2 linked regions of the Oreochromis niloticus genome follow. Each later gene encodes a partner of the first gene's protein in a complex. Links are inferred from orthologs where the notes say so. Each region holds a gene or a part of one and is shown in the gene's direction. Other genes may lie near its edges. The genes, in order: dffb and dffa.

Region 1 (12,618 bases):
GCAGGTAAATGCAGTCACTCGTCAGACAGGAAGATAATAAAACCCCACCATCAGCAAGGTGACTATTCTGCATCAGAGTGGCCTTAGTTACTGCACAAACTGAAGGTGGCATCCCCAAGATTCTCTTATAGTAGATGTCATATATGCAAAACTAAAAACCTGACTTTTCTCTAATTTAGAGGGAGGTACATAATTCCTGTTTCCAAAATTTAGCGGTTTAGCAGTGCTTCTACAGCAGCTTGTAGAAGCTGCCAGAGATCTCTGGATTTAGATGGCACTTTCTTGTAACGACATCAGGGCTCTGTAGGGGTCATACCATCTGCTGCATGGCTCTGGCAGTACTTTGGGGTCATGTGCCATCTCATCTGTCTCATTTGTGGGACACCTCACCAATAGCAGCTTTGGATTGAAAAAAAAAGTGGCTAAAACAGTTGCAAAATACTGTGTATCCCCTTTGCTGTCAGTCCTTTTGAAGCACCTTCTTAGAACTAACTCCCTGCTTGCCAGGACCAGAAGCTCACCATTTTGGGGTACAATGCAAACTTGCATAAATTAAAATGAAAATGCAACATGCAATGTGGAATTTCAATATGGCATCCAGTCACAATCACCGCATGTAGCAGTCTTTGCAAACTAAAATAATGTATTCATGTAATACATAAAAGACACATTACAGCCACTTCAGTTGTAAATCATTTAACATCCAGTGTTAAAGTAGCTGTTAAGATGAGATGGCTGACTGGCGGATTAATCTACAAGCAAATCTAACAGCACGTCGTGATTTAACAAGACGTCTCTTTTTAAATCTCAGTAATGGCTGAAATATAAAAGCTTGAACTTTTTCACCGCATGCACACTTACATTAAAAAAGCGATTTAAGCAGGTGGGTGGGTAGATGTGTGGATTGACGGCACAGTTACATTTGAAATAAAATACTGTTTTTAAATCGAGGGGATTTATCAGATTCAGCTCTGATCTTACTTCTGGTTTGAAAGTAGAAAGGAGGCTTGACATTACAAGGAAAATTCCAACGCTGCCAGCACTGATATAAAGTGAACCTTTAGTAAACTGCATGGTAGGGGCATTAGATGTTAAAACATCGGTTGGAGCTTCACTGGCAAAGTATCCTCACACCTAACCAAAAAAGCTCTGGTGATGCACAAAAAGCTACTTGTTGCCATCATGAATTTACTCACAGTACAGGAAAGTCGCTGGTGGGTTCCTGGGTGAAAAGAAGATCTTTCCATTTGAATATATGGATTCTTTCATTGATCCACATATGAAAATTGGTCTCTGTCTTAAGTATTTGGAGCAGCGTGCAGAAACCATGAAGGGCCTAGGGGACTAACTCCAGACATCAGCCACTCAATCAAGATTTGACCTGGTATATTTCTCTTGTAGGAAACCCACCCAACGGATAAAGATCATCCAAGTTGCAGTGCACTTCAATATCAGTGTGGTATATTTTATCTTTTGTATCTCAAGTCTTTCTCTGTCACGACATTCCCTTCGGTATTTTCAATAAGAAATTGAAAATTTCATCATCAAAGCAGATCTTTACACCATGCAGCTTGACATCAAAAATACTTTTTTGTTCCCCGTTTTTGTTCCCCTTGATTACAGAGAAGAAAAGACTCAAAGACTCTGAACAGACTGAAACCATGTTTGGGGAAAAAAGAAAATGAATCGTAAAGACTAAAGCGCAACAAATCTGACCTTTGACTGAAACTGCATACAACTGCAATCCCAAGTCAATAAAAAAAAAAAATTAATACATGTGCTAAATCACACCAAGCATTACATAAGTACTTGTAGCTGTCCCAAAGGGCGATCTTAGTTATGTTGCACCCCTCTGCAACTCTGTTTTCCGGATTGACTGACTTTAACTTCGCCAATCAGAATAAGCCCTCACTGGGTTGTCAGCTCACTAAGTTAACCCAGGGTTTCCCGTGCAGGAGACCAACTGGCTAACCAATTACAAGCATGGCTAAGTGTACTGGCAGCAGATCAGCTGACTGTTAAACAGACAATGCAGACTGAAAGCAACACATCTGCTACAGAAAAAGCAGCAGAGTGTGTGTGTGTCTGAGAGAGAAAGAGAGAGAGAGAGAGAGAGGGACAGCACTATACAACAGTTTAATACTAAAAGTCCTATATAAACACGTGAGCGCTTTAAGTGCTTTGCAGTCAATAAGACTGGACAAGATCTATTATAGTAATAAAGTCTACCGTATTTGAAGCCTGGGAAGAGAGCTGGCAAAAATACTGATTGTATAATTTAACAGATTTATCAGTATCACAGCTCTATCATTAGGCCACAGGAGAATCTGATGGAATATAATTGAGTACTTAATTCAATTAATTTTTAAAAGACAGGTTTTAGCTTTTATTCTTTCAGCTGCAGTCTCAGTGGTGTTTAAGAGTTTGAGACCAACTAAAGAATAAAAATAAAAAACATGTAGGAAATTTGATACAAGAACCACAAATACAAAGGTGCTCTGTTTTAGGGTTATATAGTTATGCTTATAGAATACGATTTTTGTGAAATCAATTGAAGCCAACAGGAAGAAAAAAGACTGAATAAATGTGAAAGTCTAGAATCTGAAGTTATTACTAATTCTTACTGGGGGAAATTCATAGATATGAGATTTTATTTAAAAAAAACTTTATCCCATCCTACTATGTGGGCACAGTGGGCAAAGGCTCATCCAACAATGGTGTCGCTATTTTCCAGAGAATTGAAGGGTCAGGAGGCAAACTCAGGGTTAATTAAGAAGTTATCTGGATAAGACAAAATCCTGCTTTGTACTACAAGCCTCTGGTATCTTCTGAGATTCAATATCTCACTAGCACAACACAGTAGAGTAACACTAAACACCCAGTAAACAAAAAAAGAGTGTTTTGGTTGGGAAGCTGGCTTCCAGTGTGCTGTACTGTAATTCAGTCCAGGCAGAAATGCTACCATGGCCAAAGACTCCCCACAAGTTACTTGGCCCATTTTATAGTTCACTGGGTCTTTTGCAGGTTTTGTGTATCAATTGCAAACAACCTCATGCTGATTTCTTAGCAGGACTGCTGAACTTGTTGATTGCACAAGTTAAATCCATGATGACAGTTACAGCAAGGTAGCAGAAACGTTTGTTCTTGTTCACTTGTGTGCATGGGCAGATAACTAATGAGTTGCAACTGCAAGCACATTAAATGAGGTACCCTGCTATGTGCACTATTAGATGTTAAGTTTTCTGTAGCTAGTACACAGTCTTGAGTGAAAAGAGTTGATTGATTTTTCAATCACATCTGTTCAGAGAGAGTGTGAAGCAGAGAAGGCTGAGCCAAAGTAGCACAACACACCAAAGTCTCCACAATGTTACACTGCCAGCTTTTTTTTTTCTTTTTTTTATGATTGGTTGTCACACAATCATAGAAAGCAAATCACAGCATCTCCAAGGGCAATGGCTTACTCAAAACCCCCCAGCTGGTGCTTAGCAGGACTGCTGAACAGTTACAAATGGACATCTTTCTTTTTTTGCCCTGCCGCTGTCGGTCTCATGCGGTCACTCACACTTATTTCAGCCTGTTTGGACTTCACCTAATGGCCCAGAAAGGGCAAAGCTCTCATGTCATTCGTTTCTAGATGAAACTAGCTCAAACACATTTGCTTGCGGCTGAAAATTCCCTCACTTTGCACAGAGGTCATTCTGTCTGAACCTGACACTCAAAGTAATACAAAGTATTGAGAAACATGATGATGTTGCACTACTATTTTTGGCACCATAACACATTAATTTCAGCAGGCAAACTTCAGTCTCACTGATATGGGGAGAGGCGATCACATACTTCTGAGATATGCATCTGTCTGATCCTCCAATTGGCTTTGGCGCTGCTGGATGAGCTGTGCGGTTTGTCTTAGTTCATTAAGCTAAACAACTTCACACTGTATATTACTCCACACAACTTTAACCTGGGCACACTATCCAAAGTGCTAGTGTGGGCTAGTGTGGGGTATTTTTGAAATAAAAAATACCCCACATAAAGATTAGGCAACATCAAGTAATAAGCTATTTATTACACTTCACCACATTATATACAATTACCACTGTCAGACAAGTAAAGACTAGTAAATGAATGAGTAAAAGGTCTTTCTAGCAATACTGGACATAATATGTGGTTTTTCTATAATGAATGACATGTTTTTGAGTTATTACAGTTTCCAGGACTAACTGATCACTGCCATAAAGTGGCACACATCTGTAATACAATCATGATATTTTCAATGAAACTTTGTCTCAAAGTTCTCTCTAATAGTAAGTTTTTACCTCACAATGAAATTAGCTCTTCTTCAACTTGCAGGGTGAGAAAACAGAGTCGAAGTCATCAAATGCAACTGGAATCACTTATTGGCAATCACTTCAGTTTGTAATTTGCTGTGCTTTAGCTGACAGGATCCTCAAGAGCATAGCAGAACTCAGGGAAATCAATGCTGCTAATTTAAACACGGCTAATTGGTAAAGCTTTTGAGTTGCTTTTAATTAAATAACGGTTGCCCTAAATGAATGGAATTTATGCATGAATACACATTGATTTTACTACATAATCATCTACTCGCTGTTTGCCAAAATAACATGAGAGGGGTTTTTAAAAGAGCCTATATATATGGAACAGCTGTGTGCTGTTTGGAGTAAACTTGTTTCAGTGGGATGTCTGTTAGAGAAGAGTTACCTCATTGAAAGTTATCTTGTTGTTTTTTATTGTCTGAGGTGAGCTCTTCCATGTTTTCCCAAAAAAGTGCTGATGATTTCTGTCAAACAGCGTTGCCCGTAGTTGGTAAGTCACACTTTGTTCTCCCACTGCCTTCTCCTATGAGCAAAAAGGAAGCACATGCATCTTAGGAAAGTCACTGTTAACAAGTGAAGAGTTAAACTTAAATCCTCCTTTATGACTATTATCCAACTTCATGTAAAAAACACCCCAGAATGAGGTTCCCAATATCTGAATGCTCAGTTTTGCATCCCTGTAACTGATAATGCCAGCAAGTAGTGGATGTCAGATTCACTTTGGTACTGTTTGATGCTCTATATATAGACCGAATTTACTAATAATCCCATGACACTGATTGTGTGTTTGATTAAAAAAAATGTATGGTTGCCTTCAAATATAACATTTTTCAAAGCTTCGCGAGATTTCTTCAGGCGCACTTTCACAGAGATGGATACTGAATAGGCCTTATCGTGTCTTTTATTTTGACAGTCAACGCAAAGTCAAGCTCACAGATTAAAATACACTGAATTTAGGTTTGCTAAACCTCTAGTGAATTGCTATAGCAGAGTTGTTTCTATGTTTTTAATCAGCACTGAAAGCTAACTGTAAACGGTCACCTGTGGTGGGAGGTGAGTTGCAGTGACACGGTTGAGGGTGAGCTGGAAGCCGTGGGACTGGGTGAAGCGGCTTTCCACAGCCAGCCTTACGGTCTGGCTCTGCGGGGGAACCACCCGGTTCCTCTCAAACACTTGCTTCCATTCGTCCGCCATGCTGGGTATGTCTTCTATTTTTACCATGTCCTTTAGTTAAAATAAGCATTACCCTGACATTGCACAAAAAAACTCAGAAATGTTGAACGCAGCCAATGTTTTACTCTGAATTCAGTCTTCTCCATCCGTTCAGATGGCCGCCATATTGAAATCAGATTCTACCATTTAGTACAAAGGGGGGGATATGTAATAAAATATTTCATCAGGAGCGTTCACGAATGAGAAACATTATTTGAAAATATACTTAGTAAACGAATTGTATTTTCTAACGCAAGTCTACATTTTATTCCCGAAATTTAAAATCTACAGAAAATTTCGCATTGGCCGCCTCTAATCGTTCATACCTTTCAGTTGGTATTTCCCATCGTGCTGCGTCAGTTGCTATGGTAATACTCATCTTTCCATTTAGGTCTTGTATGAACGTCAGCATCTCCAATTTAAAGTTATTTTATTGCCACACTCGCAATATAAATTTTATTTTCTTTTTAAATATACACATGTAATAATTATCTTTTATATATTAGTAGAGTATAATTTGTAGGAGGAGCTTTGGCTGTAGTCTTAAGCTAATAAGGCGAATACATAAGGAGCTAATTTTGGGGGGTGCTTAGACTCAGTTCCCCCAGAAGGACACATGCTGCCCATTCTCACAAAACACTGCTGTCTAAAAACAAAAGACAGAAAAACAAATTATGCACCGAAAAGAAAAGAGAATGTCTGGCCCAGTGATAAAAAGCTGGCAGTTTGAAAGAGGAAGACAAAAACAGAACTGTGGGAATCCAAAGAAGATTTCAACAGGGATAAAGACAGATGTGTGGCTTGTTGTCAAGTGTTGCATAGCCTATATAAACAGTAACGCTAATAAAGCCATTTGAATTGCATTATTATTGTAATCACTAATATTCACAACGTGTACTTGATATTCAGTGTGTCTACTACAAGCGGAATGTTTTCCCCATGAAGATATTATTGTAATGTAAAAAAATATAAGTTACTTCCACCACCAATCACGCCACATTAGCAAAGAAAATAAGGAAAAGCACCAATAGGCGGCAGTCACACACTTCCGCTGCTGCTCCGAGCCTCAAGAGGAGGAAGAAGAAGGAAGCGGTAGGTACAAACCGAAAACAAAACAGCAAAATGTTCGGGAAAATTAAACCTGTAAAAGTTAGGAGCTGCAGTGAAAACAGGAAATATGGAATTGCCGCAAAAGATGTGAAGGAACTACTGAAGAAGGCCTGCAATTTGCTACAGGTGAGCCTTGTGGGAATTAGTTAGTTTTTAACACCTTACACTGCTGTTCCGCTTTTTTATCTGAGAGAATGTGACATAAACGTCATTGCTGCTAGTAAACAAAAGAAATTACGCTTTTATTTTTCCTAATTAGTAGTAACTCGATACGTGATTGGTTTGGTCCAAGATCATCTCCACTGTGAAGAAGTTACGACATAAAATAATTTTCGCATCATTTTTAGAGAACTCGGTAAACAGGATGTAAGTGAAAAAGCAACAGTTATGTCACGTTCAGGTCAAAGTGACATGTAGCCTCTACGTTCATATTTCAAGATGCTTTTTGATTGCATTTAGATTAAATTCTGTTTATGATAGGCTGGGAGCAGAATTCGTTCATTATTGAGTATGGCCTCGGGCACATTTTGTATAAACTAGCTGAAACAAAGAGGAAATGATCTGTTGGTGGAAATCTGTACTACAGGGATTTTGTTTAATTAGAGTTTACATCGGATAAATGAATCCATTTAATCTGAACTGACTCTCACAGATGGCTCTCTTATAAAATATGTCAAGTTTACAGATTAGTTATCTGGTCTAAAAAGCTTCCACTTCTAGTCCACACAACACATTTGTCATTGGTGTTTTTACCTGTTATGTTCTCCACGAGTCCAGGTGCCACTCTCTGGTGCACGTGTTTGCTTGTATGAGGACGGGACAATAGTGACGGAGGAATTCTTCCCAACTTTGGCGGATAACACCGAATTGGTTCTTCTATCTAAAGGGCAGACGTGGAGTGGAGGTAGGAGGATCAACACCAGACAAGTGTTTCAACTGTAAACTTGTGGTTTTATTCTCCCAGTCAGCTAAACTGCTGGATGATTGTGATGTTGCCTAATCTTTATGCATCTGATTTTTAGTTGTGTGCGACATCAGTCAGCTACTCGACACAGACCGGCATGCCGACAGCCTCATTGAAGCAGCGAAGGGGCTCCTCTCTGATGAGAAATCTTCAAAGAGGCGTAAAATCCTGACAGACCTGCTACAGAACCTGGAGGATAGGTCGGAGCTGGAGAGCAGAGAGGAGGATGAAGGCTGGTTCCAAGGTAGCAGCCTTCATCCTCTTGGAGAAGCGCTCCTGGTTTTGTTTTAGAGTTCCTGTGACTTTTCCTGTCGTGGCTTCTTTTGAGGTCAAACTCCCAGCCTGTCTGCACGAGGCTCAAAGAAGTACAGTTAGGCCTGTAGGAATTTTGACAGTGACAGTGTTTCGTGAATTTGTCTCTGTGTTCCACCACAGTGGATTTTAAAGCAAACAATCAAGATGTGATTGGAGTGCCGACTTTCAGCTTTAATTTAAGGGATTTAACAGTCTTGCTGAGCCTTGACCTAAGCGGGTCATGAAGGGTGGAGGCTGCCCCGCCCTACTGCTCTCTGCTGGACTTTGCTACTTCTTCACATGTACTGTGAATAATAATATAAATTATAATAATTAATAAATAAATAGATAGATAAAAAACAAACTTTTGAGCCTGTGAAAATGGGGCTTATGTATAAAAAGGACTTGAATTCCCAAACAGTTAATGCAACACTTTGCTCAAACCCCTTGAAATAAAGCTGAAAATTTGCACTTTAATCACATTTTGATTGATTTTAAAATCCATTATGGTGCTGTACACAGGCAGTATTACAAATACTGTGTCAATGTAAAGAAATCCCTTTAAAAAAAGCACTATAAGACATGTGCTACTGTTACTAGAGAACTGGGAAACCATGAATAGATTAAGTCACTCTTGTGTCTTTTTCCAGTATAAAAGCATTGTGAAGACTCAACACCCTTATATTTGGAAAATATAACTTTTGTCACAGATGTTTCTCTTGATGTGAGTCTAAATGAATCTGTTGAGCATCTTGTTATGTGTGTTTCTCTTCAGGTGTTGATTCTCGATTTAAAACAAAGTCTGCCTACATGAAGTACAACTGTGAAAGCAGGATACGCGGCTACTTGAAAGAGGTAAACTTGGGAGTCAGGTAACACTCTGCACCTGAGGTCTTTACAGGATTAATCCACAGTCAGCTGTTCTAACAGTTGTGTTTTTTGTTGTTTTTGTCAGCTGGATGATGCCACCAAATCCATACAGAAAGCAAAAGTGAGGGCAGAGTTTTTGAAAACCTCACAGAGCCTCACAGAAATGCTGAAAACAGCCAAGTACAATGGCTGCTACTTTGACAGGACTGAAAAGCAACCAGATCGCCTTTGTACTCAGGAGGGATGGTTCACCTGCCAGGTACTACAAGAATGCAAGCTGTGAGGTATTAAGAGGTCTAACAGAGTTGAATGGGCAACATGAGTTTTACACTGTCACAGGCTTTTGAGCTCTGAGGGAAAGACTCTTGAATCTGTACAGAGTAGCTGGGATCTGCTCCAACTGACTCGTCCGAGGTTAGTTGTATGTGAACAGAAGAGTCAGAGACAAAAGTGCACTGTGGTGTGAGCATCAGAGCAAAAATGATCAAAAGTAGTGTTTAACTAGGCTTAACAGTCATTACATTTAAAATGTCTCAAAAATATTAAAAGTCCAGATGTGCTTCAGACTAAGTTCCTCTTCCTCTAAATTGCGTCCTCAGGGATCATTTGATGAGAAAGTGTGCAAATCTCTTCACTCTATCAACCCCTATGGAAGCCGCGAGGGCAGGATTGTCTTCAGCACTTGGAATTTGGACCACAGGTTCACGCCACCTTTAGTTTATTTACAAGATTTTTTGGAGTTTTTTTTTTTTTTTTTTTTTGCTTTACCTCCTTTCATGCAATTCTTCAATTTGTTTCCAGGATTGAAAAGAAGAGGACAGTTATTCCCGCTCTGCTGGAAGCTCTGCAAAATCACAGGAGCACTGACATCAACCTCAACTACTTCTACCAACTCCTGTTCACGAGGGAAAACCTGAAGCTGGTCCACATCGTCTGCCACAAAAAAGGATCTCACAACCTGCAGTGTGACACCAAGAAGATCTATAATAATGCCACCAAGGATCTAAAAGCAAAGCAGAAGCCCAAAGTAAAGAAAAGGCGCATGACTTGATGTCCTGTGACAAATGAGTGGACTGTGATTTGTTTGATGAACTTGGTAAATAATTAACTCTGAAAAGAACCCATCACATCAGCTGGAAAGGTAAATTTGCCTTTGCAATCTTCTCGACGTGACTCGTGACATCAGCTTGAGCTCCAAACCCACCATGGTTAGCTTTAATTTCATAATGGAAGTGATCGACCACACTTAAGAAACCATGAAATTCATTTATTTGTTCACTGTATTGGCACTGTGATGTAAAGTACACAAATTAAGTACAAAGATGATAACAAATCATGTATTTACTCTGAATGCTGCATAGAATGTGAAAAGCAAATTGATATAAATAAGGCAGTAAATATATAAAATATTTGGACGGTTTAGAACAGTCATGTACAAAATACAGGCGACAACATCTAGTGCAATTACGGTTAGCCTCTTGGTTAGATTACATTTTCACTCAGGTTTAAATTATCCAGTCTTTCAGACTGCAGTCTTGTATGAGGAACCTTTTGTTTTTTTTAAACAACACTCTTTTACAAATTTTAGAAGAACCCTCTCAGGGAAAATTAATTCATTACATTGATTATGTATCGATACAAATGTGTTATATATTTGAAAGCTGCCAGAAACGTGAGCACACATGAGTTGAGGATGAAGAGACACTTGGTGAATAATGACTTTTATGCAGAAAACTGTTGATGATGTTCAGCTTAAGCAATGAATTTGTGCTATTAAAACTCTCAGTACAGAAGTTCATGCTCCATCCCTCCTCGTTACAGACGTGTAATCTTAACTTAGACTGAAATTGTCACTCTGTTGCTCTTGTCAGCATGTAACATTTACAATTAATCAGTTTTCATTTGTATGGGAAAACAAAACCTTAAATCCAGCATTTTTTTAGCATCTCAGAGGCTAATCTGAAGCTGCACTCAGGATTCAATTTTCTACACAATGTGCTGTAAACACGGGTGATGGTTACACCAGTTATGGCTACACCAGGTGTTATGTGAGCATACATTCAGCAAAAATTTCACAAAACATTACTGCATTTACTCACATTGGCCATTTTAATTTTATTATTGCAGTTATGACTTTTTAAAAATCTAATTATTGATTGAATGCAATGTTTGAGCAGGTAGTTTTCCAAGTGCTGAGAGGTTTAATGTCTTTTCATAAGCAGAACTTTCTCAGTTATAAGAGCGGCAACTCCTAACTAAGGCTACGTTCACACTGCAGGTGTTAATGCTCAATTCCGATTTTTTGATCAAATCCGATTTTTTTGTCTGCTTGTTCACACTACAAATAAATGCGACAGCAAACGCGCTCTAGTGTGAACGCTCGAAGCGGCCCACATGCGCAAAAAAAGACGTCACACACAACGCGCTCTGTTTAGACCCAGAGCAAACAATATTGTTTGACTTCGGACTTTACGTTTTCAAATTTTTGCTTTAAGTTATTTTGTTATTTACATAATAATGTAAATAACCTAATAATGATCCTTATTGCTGAGAGGAGCGGTGCTTCAAAGGATAGTTGCAGATTTCTGTCAGAATCTGCAGATTATACAGTACAAATAAAATGTTCACGTTGTCTTCCCAACAGTTTCACTGACATCTACACTGGATGGCCAGGAAGCGTTCGCGATGTCTTCTCGGGCGCTTCTCCGGCGCTGATAATTGGCGTCTGTCTTGTGTCAGTGACGTAAAAGACGGATTTAATGCGACATGACCGTTCAAACAGCAGTCGCTTTCTAAAACATCGGATATGTATCGGATTCAGTACCACACACGAAAGTGACCTAGATCGGATTTGAAAATATCGGATTTGTGCCGTTCAAACTGTCATACCATGATCAGATATGGGTCACATAGGGTAAAAAAAAAATCGGATTTGATGCGCTTTCGCCTGCAGTGTGAATGTAGCCTAAGTGCCCACCCCGTTGTCTCGCTGCACGCCACTGAAATCCACCTCGTCTTCATCGCTGTCCTCTCGAGCATAGTAATGTCGCCTCCTGTTCTTCCTTTGGGCGCGGCTAGAAGACGTGGATGATCTTTCAGGAAAATCCTGTAGGATGAATCCATATTTAGAATTCATTTAATGCAACATTATTTTCACAAATTGTGCTGAAGATATAACTGCAGGAATGATGGGCCTAGAGATGTGGTGGGAATGGGGGGATAGAATCTATGTGTATGGATAAAATTAAAGTTATCAGTGAGTAACAAAGCTAACTAGGGGTTGTTACTGCTCTCATATAACTCTAGCCCTGCTGATAAGAGGTTGAAATGTCAGTTTGTTTAATGTTAACTGAGTGAGACCAGAAAAAGAGAAGGAAAAAAAACTGCAAATCATATTTATTTGAGAGAAAGAATCCAAACCTCAAGGCCTCAAGGCAAACTTAAAATGATACGTTAGGGACTCCTGGCAGAGTGAGGCTTTTGTGTAACAACTCGTGGTCTTCTACTCTGCACATTATTGCCCATGTTTTGTGTTTTATTAGCAGGAAGACCCTTTTGGTACATCCAATAATGCACCAATTACTGCTGAAATTTAAACCAATTTTAAGGTCCAAATGTATAACAAGTCTAACATATCTTCCAACTCCCATGTCTATTACAAAACACCCTAGAAGAGCAGCTTTAAATGAATAGATTAGAATAATAGATATGGATGCTGATTCTTCTAAACTGATCATCAGTCAGAAGTTTTCTTTACCAAAAAAACAAAAACCTGTTTCCCCCAGGAATTAAAACCAACGTGCCTCACCTGTACAGCATCCAAGTTTCCAAAGA
Region 2 (12,531 bases), about 3.9 Mb from region 1:
TCTTAAACTGAGGTTTGTTTTTTTTTCAGTGCAAAGAGTAAAGAACGGGGTAAACGGTAACCTAAATCTGTAAGAATTGCATTTAGCGATGACACGTGACCCTTTAGTTTGTGATCCGAGGTAGTGAGTGTATTTCCAAAGAGTTCCGAGTTAATCGGTTCAAAGGAAATTAAGGAGCAAGAATTCTAACAAGAAATATACAACTTTAACTTTATTATTCAGGAAAATAATTAAAAACTTAAAATAAAAATATACCTTTAAAGTACACAAGTACAAAGCCAAACTGTTCTTTCATATCATATAGTTTCTAACAGGAGAAAAGAAATGTAAACATTTTAAAATATAAATGCATAAAAACTATAATGCATCTTATTTTGGGGAAGTAAATTTTAATTTTATTCCAATAGATCTGGTTAACCTGTCAAAATATCTATATTACGCCAATATATTCGCCAATTTCTTTCAGTATTCTCATTTGGTCAGTGGAATTTTTGCTCATTAATAGCATCGTCATGTGTTTGGGTGATTTTAAAGGCAGTCAGAGACAGTGTCTGAAGAAGATGAGGGGTAAGCGCAGGGTGTCACTACAGGGAGAGAGAGCACAGAGACTGGGGAAAGACTAGTAATAGACTGGCTGGGGTAATGGTCATGGCAGGGATGAGTGGAAGGTGGGAGGAGGTGGGGTGGGGATTTGAGACAGAGGCGGTCGGGGTTAGAGTGAGCAAACAGCAGTGCCAGAGGCAATAGCAGCGACTGGCAGCGACTGGTATACCAGTCAACCATGAAACACACACTCACGCAGGCTCTCCCACGCCTTCTTCTCGCTCTAACCTGCAGGTCCAGATATCCCTGTCTGGCCTGGTATAGTGGCAGAGGCTGTGGCACCGGCCCCTGAGCTGGACCCTCCTGCCACTGAGGAGGGTCCATGCCGTGCAGTGTGCCAGGGCCTGCTGATCTGGGCGAGGTGAGTCAGAACCTGTTAACATGACTGGTGTCCCCAGTCTGACATGCACATGTGCACATAGATGTTATGCAAATGTGTGTGTGTGTGTGTGTGTGTGTGTGTGTGTGTGAGTGAGAGGGAGAGAGAGAGAGAGACTGCTTTTCCTTCTTTCCTGCCCTTCCAACCCTGCCAGCACTCCCTTTCCTCTCATCCAGATAAAATCCTTTCAGACACAAATTTCAATTATTCACCTCATCCAAATAATGCCATGTGACAAGAATTATCCCTACTGTAATAATCCACTTAACTGGGAAAGAGCAGCTCATCAAAAAGAGAAAGGAGAAAAGGGGTTGGAAGTGAGGGTGGTGGTGGGACTTGTCAACCGGTCTCGAATCCCTCATAACAAGAATTTCTTCCCTTTTTTGAGGAGACAGTCTTGAAGCGCACTGGGATGATGAAATTGAAGTAAATTGAAAGAAAGCCTGGGAGAATGCTCCCACAATCAATAACCCCAGGATTAAATTAGCCTTGGCATGAAGGGATGATGGGGGGAAGATGAAGAGTGAATGGTGGTGAATGACATTGAGACATGTAGGCTGAACAATACAGCACTTCTATAACCTGCATGCTGTGCCTATACAAGGACAGTGAGTGTACCTGGGATGGATTCCATCCCACTTAGCAATTACCAAACATTCCTGGTTATAGTCATCGCTTGGGCCAAGCATGCCTTATAAACACTCTGCACATTACTGAAGAGAAAAACTGACATTTATTCTTGTTAAACACCACCTTATAACACCTTTTTGAGGGACCAACACCTTCAAGTGCCCTTTGTGTTTGCATAGGAGACTACATGGCGAAGAAACTCCAAATTAGCGACTTTCCTGACCCAATTCTGACACAGACTACAAAAAAAGAAGGATAAACAAAGAACAACAAAGATGTGCAGTCAAAGTTTTATGCTATGCATGATTAAAGAAACTGTGGAACCCATTGCTGCTGTTAAAATAGACCATTTTCCTCTCTAAAGACCAAGAACATAAAGTATACTCTCATTACAGCTTGGGGACATCATTGTGATGTATAAAGTGACTGTCTGCTAATTGGAAGCCTTTAATACTGGATCTCCCTGGGGAATGTGTAATACAGCCAAATAAAAGTCTTTAAATTATCAGATCTTAGGGGGGGGGAGAGAAAAACCATCATAATCTTCCTCAACTATGCATCACCAGATCAAGCCAAGAAATTAGAAGATTTTCATTCTTTCAAAATCGCACTAATACTTGAGTTTTTGAAAAATCCACACTTCTGAGCACTAGTATTAAGAATCACAGCGTGTGCCATGTGAGAATATCTGAAATATTATTTCCAGCCATTATGATACCCTATTCATTGCTTTTTGTTTTCTTTACAGGAAATGTAATTTAATATTTGCATCGTTTGATCCAAGCTGCTATTTCTTTCCAGCTCTCACTTACATTACTTACATTAGCTTCATTTAATGTTTTTGTGGTTACAGTCAATGTTTCCTTACCAATAATTCATGTAATTCAGACTAAGGAATAAATTCTTACCAGTTCTTCTCTGGGGCTACGTGCTCCATCTTTTCCAGGCAGAAGGCCAGGCTGGGAACATAAACAAACATTTGTATTAGAGTGCCATCTAGTGGAAAACAGAAGTAATGTCAGTTTGAAGCTTGGTAACTATGGTCGCCCTTTACAAGCACACGGTATGTAACGTTGCTGGCTCTATCTATTAAAGTGATAGTATTCGGTTATTCAGGTATGGGACACTTTTACAATAATAGGCCTCACGGCTTCTTTCAGGCATATCAACAACATTTATGCAAAGTGCTTCAGCACTCTTTCGCATTTTGGCAAATTTTTGCAAACTGATCAGGCAACTCTTACACTTAAAAATAGTTTCATTTATTAGGATCCCCGTTAGATACAGACTGAACCCTGTCAGAGCCTGTGTGAAGTACAGAACACAATATTATCTGCTGCTAGATCCTGATCAAAACTGCCTGAATTTTGGGGATAATTTACTGTGACTGAAGTTACTTCTGTGGTGTCGGGTGCATAAATGTGAGCAACTCTCGTGCATTTGAAAAGCTTTTGAATGCATTGTGCTGCTGTATGATTCTGCAGGTACGTAATAAACTCAGAAGACAGAGTTCTAGAAACAGCTGCAAGCATCAAACTAACTACCTACCTAACTTCCTGTTAGCTTCTGTCAAAAGTTAACTACAGTCATAACTCAGAAGTTTTTTAACCTGTTCTCATCATGGTGAAGAGTTTAGCTTCATGCTGTACTCCATAAACATTTCCCTATGTACAGTAACAGATGGGAAACTGTAGAAATTGTGAAGAAGGGAAAATTCACAACACAAATAAGTTGATTGTGGAAGGGTATCCATTTCACTGTGACGTTTATGGAGCAGTGCTTGTAGTAAAATATGGACAGATTTTGTTCTATGGGCAGGAAAATAAATAAATAAATAAAAAAAGGCTATTTGTCATTTCCACAAGATTGGGAAAGAAAACATTAATGATATAAATGGACTGGTTCTTATATAGTGCTTTTCCATTTGAGCACTCAAAGCACTTCATTTGCCCATTCATACAAACACTTTTTTCTAGGCCTTAGCACTTTCTATGGAACATTCACACACATTCTGATGAACACATTAGAAAGCAACTTGGGTTAGGAAATTGCTTAAGGATACTTTGGCAAGCACACTTGAGCAACAGTCTGTATGCCTACAATTAGTAGATGAGCTGCTCTAACTCCTACGCTACAGTTACTGTTTAGAGAATTTTAAAAACAATAAAAATGTATTTAAAGTGTTTATTGTAACTAAGCAACTCACACAGATGAAGGGGAAACAGAAAAACTATTGTAGACTTGAACAGGCCCATGCCTGTAATGTGAAAATGCTTCCAGCCTTATGTCACGTTGAAACTTTTATTAAAAGTGTCATTGCTACTTATATAAAAAGTAACGTCCAAACATGAAACCAGCAAATTCAAGTGGAGTCAGATAAATATTTTAGAATATATTTGAAAGCCTACCAACTTACATAACTAGACTATAGTTATAGCTTAACAGATTCTTTTACTTCCAGAAATAATTTGCCCACACTGAGAAATTTGACCTGTCTGCTACGTGAATGGCATTTTCAAAAAAGAAAAAAAGTACTGAACTGGCACATGCCAGCATTCATTTGTAGATTTGTAGAAATCTGTTGCTCATAAACTGAGTGATAACTTTACAAGTACTTGTAAATACTGTCAATCCACACAAGTTCCTTGATTACAGTGTTCCTTGACTTTATTAGTTTCTGCATTTGGTAAACACTTTCTATACACTTAAAGCCGTTAGCTCTCAACTATGTACATAAAAAAAACTTTTATATTTCTCTACAGCATATATAAACATCTTTTTTTCTGAAAACAGCATCTCAGCTGTAGCAACAAAAAGTACAGAAGTCACGGGTGACATACATGAATAAAAACCTTCGGTGACATTTGTTTTCGGGGGGCTGGTGAGTTCAAAGCCAACACTGTGACTGCAACCCAACAGAAACCATCAGGTTTGTTTGCCTACACTGACCTTTGAGTTGCACCTACAGTTATCTGCACACAGTAAGACGAGGCTACACGCTCAGATGCAATTGTACAGCTGAATCGTTTGATGACAATGGCAAATCTAGTAACTATGCCCTATTATTTTCGACACAATATGGCAACTCTAAATGACGCCCCTTCCTGCCCACTTGTAAACACACTCATGTCTCAGTGACAACTTTTGACTCGTAACCTAGCTAGCATGCTAACTAGTAGGCATGCTAATCTCTAACTTTGTGAGCATTTCCAGGCACGTGATGCCAACGTTAAGACATCTAAAGCCCCGAAATATCTAAAACAGTTCACTACCGCAAATAGACATTAAAAAGAAACCGCTTTTAATGCATATAGAGACCTGTGTTGTTGCCTCAGCTTGGTCGTTGGATGCCATCTTCTTCTTCTTCTGTTCCTTCTGCCACACTTCTTATTCTGGTATATTTCTACCACGCAACATGCTTTAAGATGCACTGCTGCCTCCTGCAGGGGAGTACGGGACACTGCAGGATGAGTCTCACTCCAAAGTTTCACTCCCCATTCTTACTGTCTGTTATTGAAACGCTACAATATAAAAGCACATCAAGTTCGGTTTCAGCTTCCTCATAGCACATTCTCATGCTCACACACCTTCAGTAGATCTTAGACTAAGACTTCTGCGTGGTCAATGTTGATGACTGTCTTTCTTTCACTGCCAAGAAAACTTATTTTTTGTAAATTGTTTTTATTTGTTTTGTCTGTTTGTTTTGTTTTTGTCATAGTAGAGCCTATTCTACCTTTAGACTTAATGTCAGCTTCATCATTTCCTCAGCTGAACCCACCCTTGCGCCTAAAGAACAAGAAAAAAAATCTATACAACAAAGCCAACAGCTTAGTCACGAGGTGTGGTAAGTCCCTACTTGTTGAAACGGATTTGCATTCAGCCACCAGATAATAGCTTAATATGGCTTTGCCCGGGGCCCCTTCAGAAATCACAATACTTAATGAATTCACAGCAAGAAGATACTACTTATTTACTCTATTTCATAAATAAGAAAAACAAATAAATAAAACTATAAAGTCATTTGCTACAGCAACCCCCTAAAAGTCAGACCCCAAAATGCTAGACTTACAGCATTAAAAGGGATTGTTTCAGGTGACATTGTGATGTAAGTGGTGCATTTTTGGACCATATAATGCAGTCTTCTTTTTCTCTCTTTAGGGGTTGCCACAGGAGATCATCTGCCTCCATTTCATCCCATCCTTAGCATCATTTCTGTCACACAACCCTCTGCATGTCCTCTTTCACTACATCCAAGAACCTCCTCTCCGATTCTCTTCTTTTCCTCTTGCCTGGCAGCTCCACATTCAACATCCTTAGTCCAGTATATCCACTTCCTCTCGTTTGCACAATGTTCAAACCATCTCAGCCTTGCCTCTCTAACTTTGTCTTCAAACTGCTCAACTTGAGCTGTCCCTATCATGTACTCATTTCTAACTTCTAGTTTCTGATTTTTAATTTCTGGTCACTCCTAATGAAAATCTTAACATCTTCAATTTTGCTACCTTCAGCTCCGCCTCCTTTGTGTGTGTGTGTGTGTGTGTGTCAGTGCCACAGTCTCCAAAGCATACAGGTCTCAGTGCCATTTTATAAACCTTTACTTTCACCGCTGTTGCTATCCAACTGTTACAAATCACCCCTGATAATCATCTCCACCCGCTCCACTCTGCCTGCACTCTCTGATTTGGATGGCTGAACCTAGGTATTTAAACTATTTAAACCCACCCCCTTTTCAGTATCTGTACTCTTGGTGGTTTCACTGTTACACAAACACACATTCTGTCTTGATTCTACTGACTTTCATTCCCCTTGTCTCCAGACCATACCTCCACCTCTCCAGGCTCTCTTCCACCTGCTCCCTAGCTATTTATTTTCACCACGCAATTAACCAACCAAATGTCTTTAAGAAAGAAAAAAAAGAAAGAAAGAACTGGACTCCACTGTCAGGCCAGACTTTTTGGTCGCCATCTAGCGGTCACTTGCGGTAGTCCACCTTTAAAACAGGAGCTCCTCTGAAGGACATGCTATTATTCTCATATTTCTTATGCCTAGAGCTTGGAAATAGTTAATACAAGATTTTTTTTTTTTTAAAAATACACTCAAATTAGCGCTATAGAGGTTATAGCGTTATATTCAAACTGTAAACACAAACGCAGTTCTTTCTCCCGCGTTTTCCTGTTCGAATTGTTTTTTTGTATGTGCTAAACTACATATCCCAGATTCCATAGCGGCGCGGCGGCAGTTCCGTATTCGAGGATAGTGGTGGTAGTTGCTGTCGGTAATTGTCAGTATTAAGGTAAAAGAAAGCACAAAATCTGCTTCTCTAAACGCAGACGAGAATGACGGATAAACCGTGTAAGGTGTGTAATTTCACACGACAAAAATCGTATGGGGTAGTAGCTCCTTCCATAGATGAGCTTAAGGAAAAAGGTAAGTTGTCATGACTTTACATTCCTGAACTTTATCATGCTAGAGCTTCTCTTTAATGAAAGCTATATATTCATTAATATTGAACGGGTGTGTGACAGTGACGTGAAGTACCGTCTCACGCAGTCAAAGGTTGTGGGTGCTGTATTTAAATGTCATTTTAGTTTGCACTGGTGCTGAGCGCTAAAAGCGGGGTTCTCTTATTGCGAAAGTGAAAGAACTTCATATGTTCAGTGATTTTTGAGAGTGTTGGGAGGCACCAACATTACAGCTGAGGTGATTATTGCTATTGCTGTCGATAAGCTTACTTATCTAGTTGTGTGTGGTAGCAGCAGCAGAAGCAGCATCTCCATTTTTATCCATCGTGTTTAAACTTGCAGAAGCTAAACATGAAAAGTCATTGCTCTTCCTGCTCATTCCTAGAAGGCTAGTCACCAGGCGTTGCCCCCAGATTTTTTTTTGCATTTTTCTCTGTTTAATAAAAGTGTTTCTACATCTTTGATTGTTATATGTGTCAGCAGAGCTTGGAGGAGACAAGGCTGGGTCCTTGATTTTGAAGCCGCCTACATGAAGATACTAGAAGTGTGTTTCTGATTCTGATAAAGTCTCCTGTAACTGCCAGTGACAAAACTAGGGTGCTATCTGAAAACCCCCCTCTTGGTTTTGAAGCTAGCTTAAAGTTATCAATTGCCTTTATTCCTATTCAATATACATAAATAAATACTCGTATATGAAATATTGAGCTGGGGCACTATTAAACTAGAGGTGCTGATTTATAGCTGTTAGAAAACATGTACAATTTTAAAAGCCAGTGGAAGTAAGACATGTTTTGTATTGCAAATAGGAGCAGCTCTAAAGAAAGGGCTGTTGACTCTTTAAATGGACTGACTTGTTTGACATGTGGAAGTATGCTGAATCACCTGATGAACAGGTGGTGTCTGAGGTATTACTGCTTTGAATATTTGACTTATGGGATACACTAATACTGATTGTTTTCCTCTGAAATATGGGCGGCACTGTCGCCTCACAGAGAGAAAGATCTGTGTTGGATTTGCTGGTTCCCCCGCCACAGTCCAAAGACACGCATGTGAGGTTAATTTGTTATGCTAAACTGGACTTGCGGCGCATCTTTCCACAACAGTCAGCTGGGATATTGAATCGGATGGATGGATAAACACTTTGAAGTATAAAAATAATCTGGGACACTCTATAATATTTGTAGTTTCTCTGTTCTTTTAACAGGTCGACAGTGTCTTGGGTTCAACTCCAGTGACTCAGTCACAGTGGTCCTAGAGAATGATGGGACAGTAGTAGAAGATCAGGCTTACTTTTTGTGTTTACCCTCAAACACAAAATTCATGCTACTGAATGACAAAGAGACGTGGTCTCCACCTTGCAGGAGTAAGCAGGTTTACTTTTGTCTGACATTTTTCTGCATCCTTTTTATCATCAATCATTTATATCCTGGGAATGCATCACCTTCTGTTAATTTGATATTTACTTTTAGTTGATGGTGGCACAGCTTGGATGGCTAGGGATTCTGTGTTGCTGGAGACTGATACTGTGGACAGCTCCAGTACTGTAGCACCTTGGTATGAACTGGCTCAGCAGCTGAAGCAGGACCTGACTAGCATTATTCTCATGTCTGAGGCGGACCTACAGGTACCAACATTATATGTCAAGTATAAGAAAGTGATAAACACTCTTTCTTTGTCACTATTTTTAATCACATAAATAATAGGTCGGGCTAATGGGATGTTCTTTTTGCTGTCGACATGTGCTGTTGTCTGTGTTTAAGTGTGTTAATCAATCTAAAAATAGGAGCCGCAAATTGTATTTTATTGTTTTACTTTGCTTTTTCAGACCTTAGTGGATGCCCCATGCCCTGAACTAGCCTCTGCTCTGGGCTTCCAAGAGAAAAAGGCCCAGGAGCTCCAGGAGACGCTGCAGAGGGTTTTAGATCGAAGAGAGCAAGAGAGGCAATCCAAAGAATTGCTCCAGCTTTACCTGAAAACTGTGGAGCAGGAGAACAGACAACAGGAAGAAACAAGTCAGCCTTCTCAGGGAGGTACGGCTGTGTCATTTTAAGGTGGTTGCCATGTTTACTGTATGGAAATAGTTTGTTGAGATAAATATATGAAAATCAGATTCCCTGATTATTGTAGTGTGACACGGATACACAATATAAACTCTGTAACAAGTTAAGTCTTGCATAGAAAGCTGTTTCTGTGTCATTATTCAAGCTGGGATACAGAAACTCTGTGAACTACAGTACTGTGCAAAAGTCTGGAGCCACCCTTTATTTCTTTATATTTTGCTTCCAGTGAGCCTGACTTTTTTGTAATTCTTCTAGGTAGCCTTGAGCAACAGTTTTTCCAAGGCTGAAGCCTTGCGCTTCAGCTTTTTTGACATTTTGCTTTGTGCATTGGCTGTTTTTTGTACTCATTTTCAGTGCAGTCCTTGTACCTGACCTTTTTTAGGGAAGGTATTCCACTGAGAGGTTTGTTAAGCCACTTAACACTGACCTATGAAACAAGCTTTAAAAGGCGCCTAACTCGAGGGATGAGCCAGCGTTTTGTCTACACATAACAGACAGCATAGCAAAGTACCAATGTTAAATTGAATCTTTGGGCACTTTGTTACTAGCAGTGTGAGGCAAAAACACATAATTTGTTTCCATTTTTTTAGTTGAATCAATGAAAATGCCAAAGGTAAAAATGTGCCAACATGGTGACTGCCAAAAACATGCCAAACCTTTGGCTTTTCTTAGCATGGTGTGCAGTGTGTTCTTAAAACATTTGAGTAAACTGGACAGTTGGAGGACAAAAGAAGTGGCAAAGTATCTACAGCAGATGAACAGTCAATGTAAGTCATGTCATGAAGAAATAGAAGAACAAAGCAGAGAGCTGACACACACACAGAGATGCTTCTGAGGTGCATCAGTTGTTCCATCTACTGTTCACAGAAGCCTCATCAGACATGGTCTCAGTGGAAGGGTGGCAGTCAAGAAGCCATTCTTATGGAAGGGAAATTGGGAGAAATGGGTGAGGTACGCCAAATTATTCAAGAACTGGAGAGTGAATTTGAGATTTTTGGTTTATATTGTCATCAGTGTCCACAGAGGAGGTCAGGAGAGGGGTACAAAACCGAGTGTCTGCAGCCGTCTGTAAAACACACTGGAAGCTCTGTCATGATTTGGTGCTGCATTTTAGCCCATGGGGTTGAGGATCTTGTCAAAAATGATAGAAATATGAACGCACAAAAGTTAGACTTTGATCCACCATGTAATAGTGTCTGGAAAGAATCAGAATACTTTAATAATCCCTAAGAAAATTATGTGGGTTACATTTGATCCAAGACAGTAACAGTAACAGACTAAACTAATTAAATAATACAATATGTTCCAAAGTTAACAAATCTAAGAAATAGCACTAACAAATACAAATCATTCAATTATAAATATCAAAAATATTACAGAGGTGAAATATATATGATTGGTATTTCCCTCTAACCTGTGAACTTTGTCATTTGCTATTTTACTGTAGAGCGTGTGCAAAAGGGTGTAACTATTGCAGTGTTTACAGTGTGTTAGATGGAGGAGTTGTACAGGGAGATGGACACGGGCAGTAATGATTTCCTGTGTCGTTCAGTGGTGCTTTTTGGTAATCTCACTTTCTCACTGAACGTGCTCCTGTGACTGACCAGCACGTCATTCATATTTTACTATGAAAATGGAAAAAGGAACAACAATTTATTGAAATGTGCAAGCATAAAAGGAAATACAGTATGTGTTTTTGAGACAGGCTGTGGTAACAAAGTGTCCAAAGATACAATTTAAAATTGATGCTCATCTAAGATGTCTGTTATGTGTAGACATAACATGCATAACTCAAGATTCATCCCTTGAGTGAGGTACGTTTTTATGACTGAATAGGTCAGTGTTATTATGTGGCTTAACAAAAAAAAAAAATTTATTTGAAAAGGGTGCTTATACAGTTCCCTCTGCGTAACAAATATGTAATCAATAGCTGTGCTCAATATGCATGAATACACCCAGCAAAATAATCAATATAGTCCCATGACTATGAAGCCCTCAAGATAAGTAATGGCCCCAGATGTAGTTCTTTAGATGAGGGTCAAAGACATCACTGACTTAACTTTAGCCAGCGAGGAGGGGTGGTCAAATCAGGAAATTTGAGAAAACAATAAATGTGAAAAGTTAATCATACATAAACTTTCTCTATATTTAAGAACAAGAGACATAAATTGACTGGTTCTTATGTAGCACTTTTGTACTCTGCCTAAGCACTCAAAGCGCTTTATACAACATGCCTCATTCACCCATTCATACAAGCAGCTTTTTTATTTTGATACCTGTTTCAATCTAACATTAACACACATTCAAACACAGAAGGGCAGCAAAATAAATAAACTAAACTTAAAATATGTATTTTTATTTCTAGGTGAGGTTCAAACAACCGCAGATGTTATTAGTCAACATGTGTTATTTTTCTGTCTTAGTTTATTTGTTATCGGTTCATTCTCTTAATTTCTCATGAGGGAAGAGCTGCACTTCTATCTTTTGGTCACTAGGTGGACCTGTTGTTGTTGTTTAATAACCCCACCTGAAGTAATGATTTACTATGTTTAAAATGTTTTGAAATGTGTTGAAACCCGTTTCAATATCTCAGGTGCTGGGGATGTGGACGTGCCGGATGGAATGGAGGTGGACTCTGCTTCTGGATTTATGTCCAGGACTTTGATGGTCCTGAAAGGCAAAACATCGCCAGAGACCAGGCTTTCCACTGGAGATCTGCAGGTAGCCTACTCACACAACTCTCATTAAGCCTGCCTCAAAGCATCAGCAAATAAAAACACCCCAAATGTACTTTTACGAATACTTTTACGTTTATCTGTGGGTATTGTAAATGTCGCACAGAATCCATTCTTTCTGAGAACTACTAAGAAGTTCAAACTGCAAATTTAGACAGGCACCAGCGAATGAGGTGCATTTACATATCGCAGCAATGTGGGGCAACTCCCTTCAATGGTCCTTCGTCATCACATTCCCACGTCACTCCTTCTGCTGTAAGGCTTGTGTCGTAACACACCCCAGTGAGTCTGCTGCAAAATGATCAAAGCAAGCATGTGAAACTGCCCATCCTGACACACTTAAAACACACCCCTGCGTCATCAGTTCTGATATAATCCCATTTACTTTAGGTACAGTGTAAGCACAAGACTTTGTCAACCATCTTCATTTGCATTCATAAACTTATGTTAGTAGGGCAAGCCAGCGTATCGCCTCATATGTTCCCATTTCCACTACATGGAGCTCCCTTCTGTGTGTCTTTAGATGGTAGTGTCCAGAGGGGTGGAAGCTATGGAGCAGGTGCTGGGCTGGGACAGAGCGAGGACGTCCGCGCTGCTGCAGGCCTGCGAAGCTGAGCTGACCGCACGTCTCCAGCAGATTCAGGCCGTGCAATCCATCAGGA

Evidence for each region.
Region 2: the proteins of dffb (region 1) and dffa are in contact, whole or in part, in an NMR structure (PDB 1F2R), measured with the Mus musculus proteins. The link is inferred for Oreochromis niloticus from reciprocal best matches to the Homo sapiens genes DFFB and DFFA. Residues at the interface, in NP_031885.3 of Mus musculus: Cys10, Lys12, Arg14, Ala19, Cys20, Lys21, Phe22, Gly23, Val24, Ala25, Ala26, Arg39; in NP_001020467.1 of Mus musculus: Asp66, Thr68, Ile69, Val70, Asp71, Asp72, Asp74, Tyr75, Trp94, Tyr96, Asp100.

What each region holds. Positions count from the first base shown.
Region 1 is NC_031984.2:26,361,963-26,374,580, reverse strand, and holds dffb (DNA fragmentation factor subunit beta), read left to right. Parts: upstream 1-6,557; 5' UTR 6,558-6,668; coding exon 6,669-6,782; intron 6,783-7,433; coding exon 7,434-7,560; intron 7,561-7,678; coding exon 7,679-7,864; intron 7,865-8,689; coding exon 8,690-8,769; intron 8,770-8,869; coding exon 8,870-9,043; intron 9,044-9,383; coding exon 9,384-9,484; intron 9,485-9,585; coding exon 9,586-9,835; 3' UTR 9,836-10,928; downstream 10,929-12,618. Other genes in the region: nphp4 (nephrocystin-4), read right to left, coding at 4,720-4,857, 5,376-5,555; lg20h1orf174 (UPF0688 protein C1orf174 homolog), read right to left, coding at 11,750-11,890, 12,593-12,618. UniProt on the Homo sapiens protein: Nuclease that induces DNA fragmentation and chromatin condensation during apoptosis. Degrades naked DNA and induces apoptotic morphology.
Region 2 is NC_031984.2:22,472,358-22,484,888, forward strand, and holds the start of dffa (DNA fragmentation factor subunit alpha), read left to right. Parts: upstream 1-6,819; 5' UTR 6,820-6,948; coding exon 6,949-7,039; intron 7,040-8,278; coding exon 8,279-8,437; intron 8,438-8,543; coding exon 8,544-8,698; intron 8,699-8,899; coding exon 8,900-9,104; intron 9,105-11,727; coding exon 11,728-11,855; intron 11,856-12,392; coding exon 12,393-12,531. Other genes in the region: peroxisomal membrane protein PEX14, read right to left, coding at 2,521-2,571, 4,931-4,966. UniProt on the Homo sapiens protein: Inhibitor of the caspase-activated DNase (DFF40).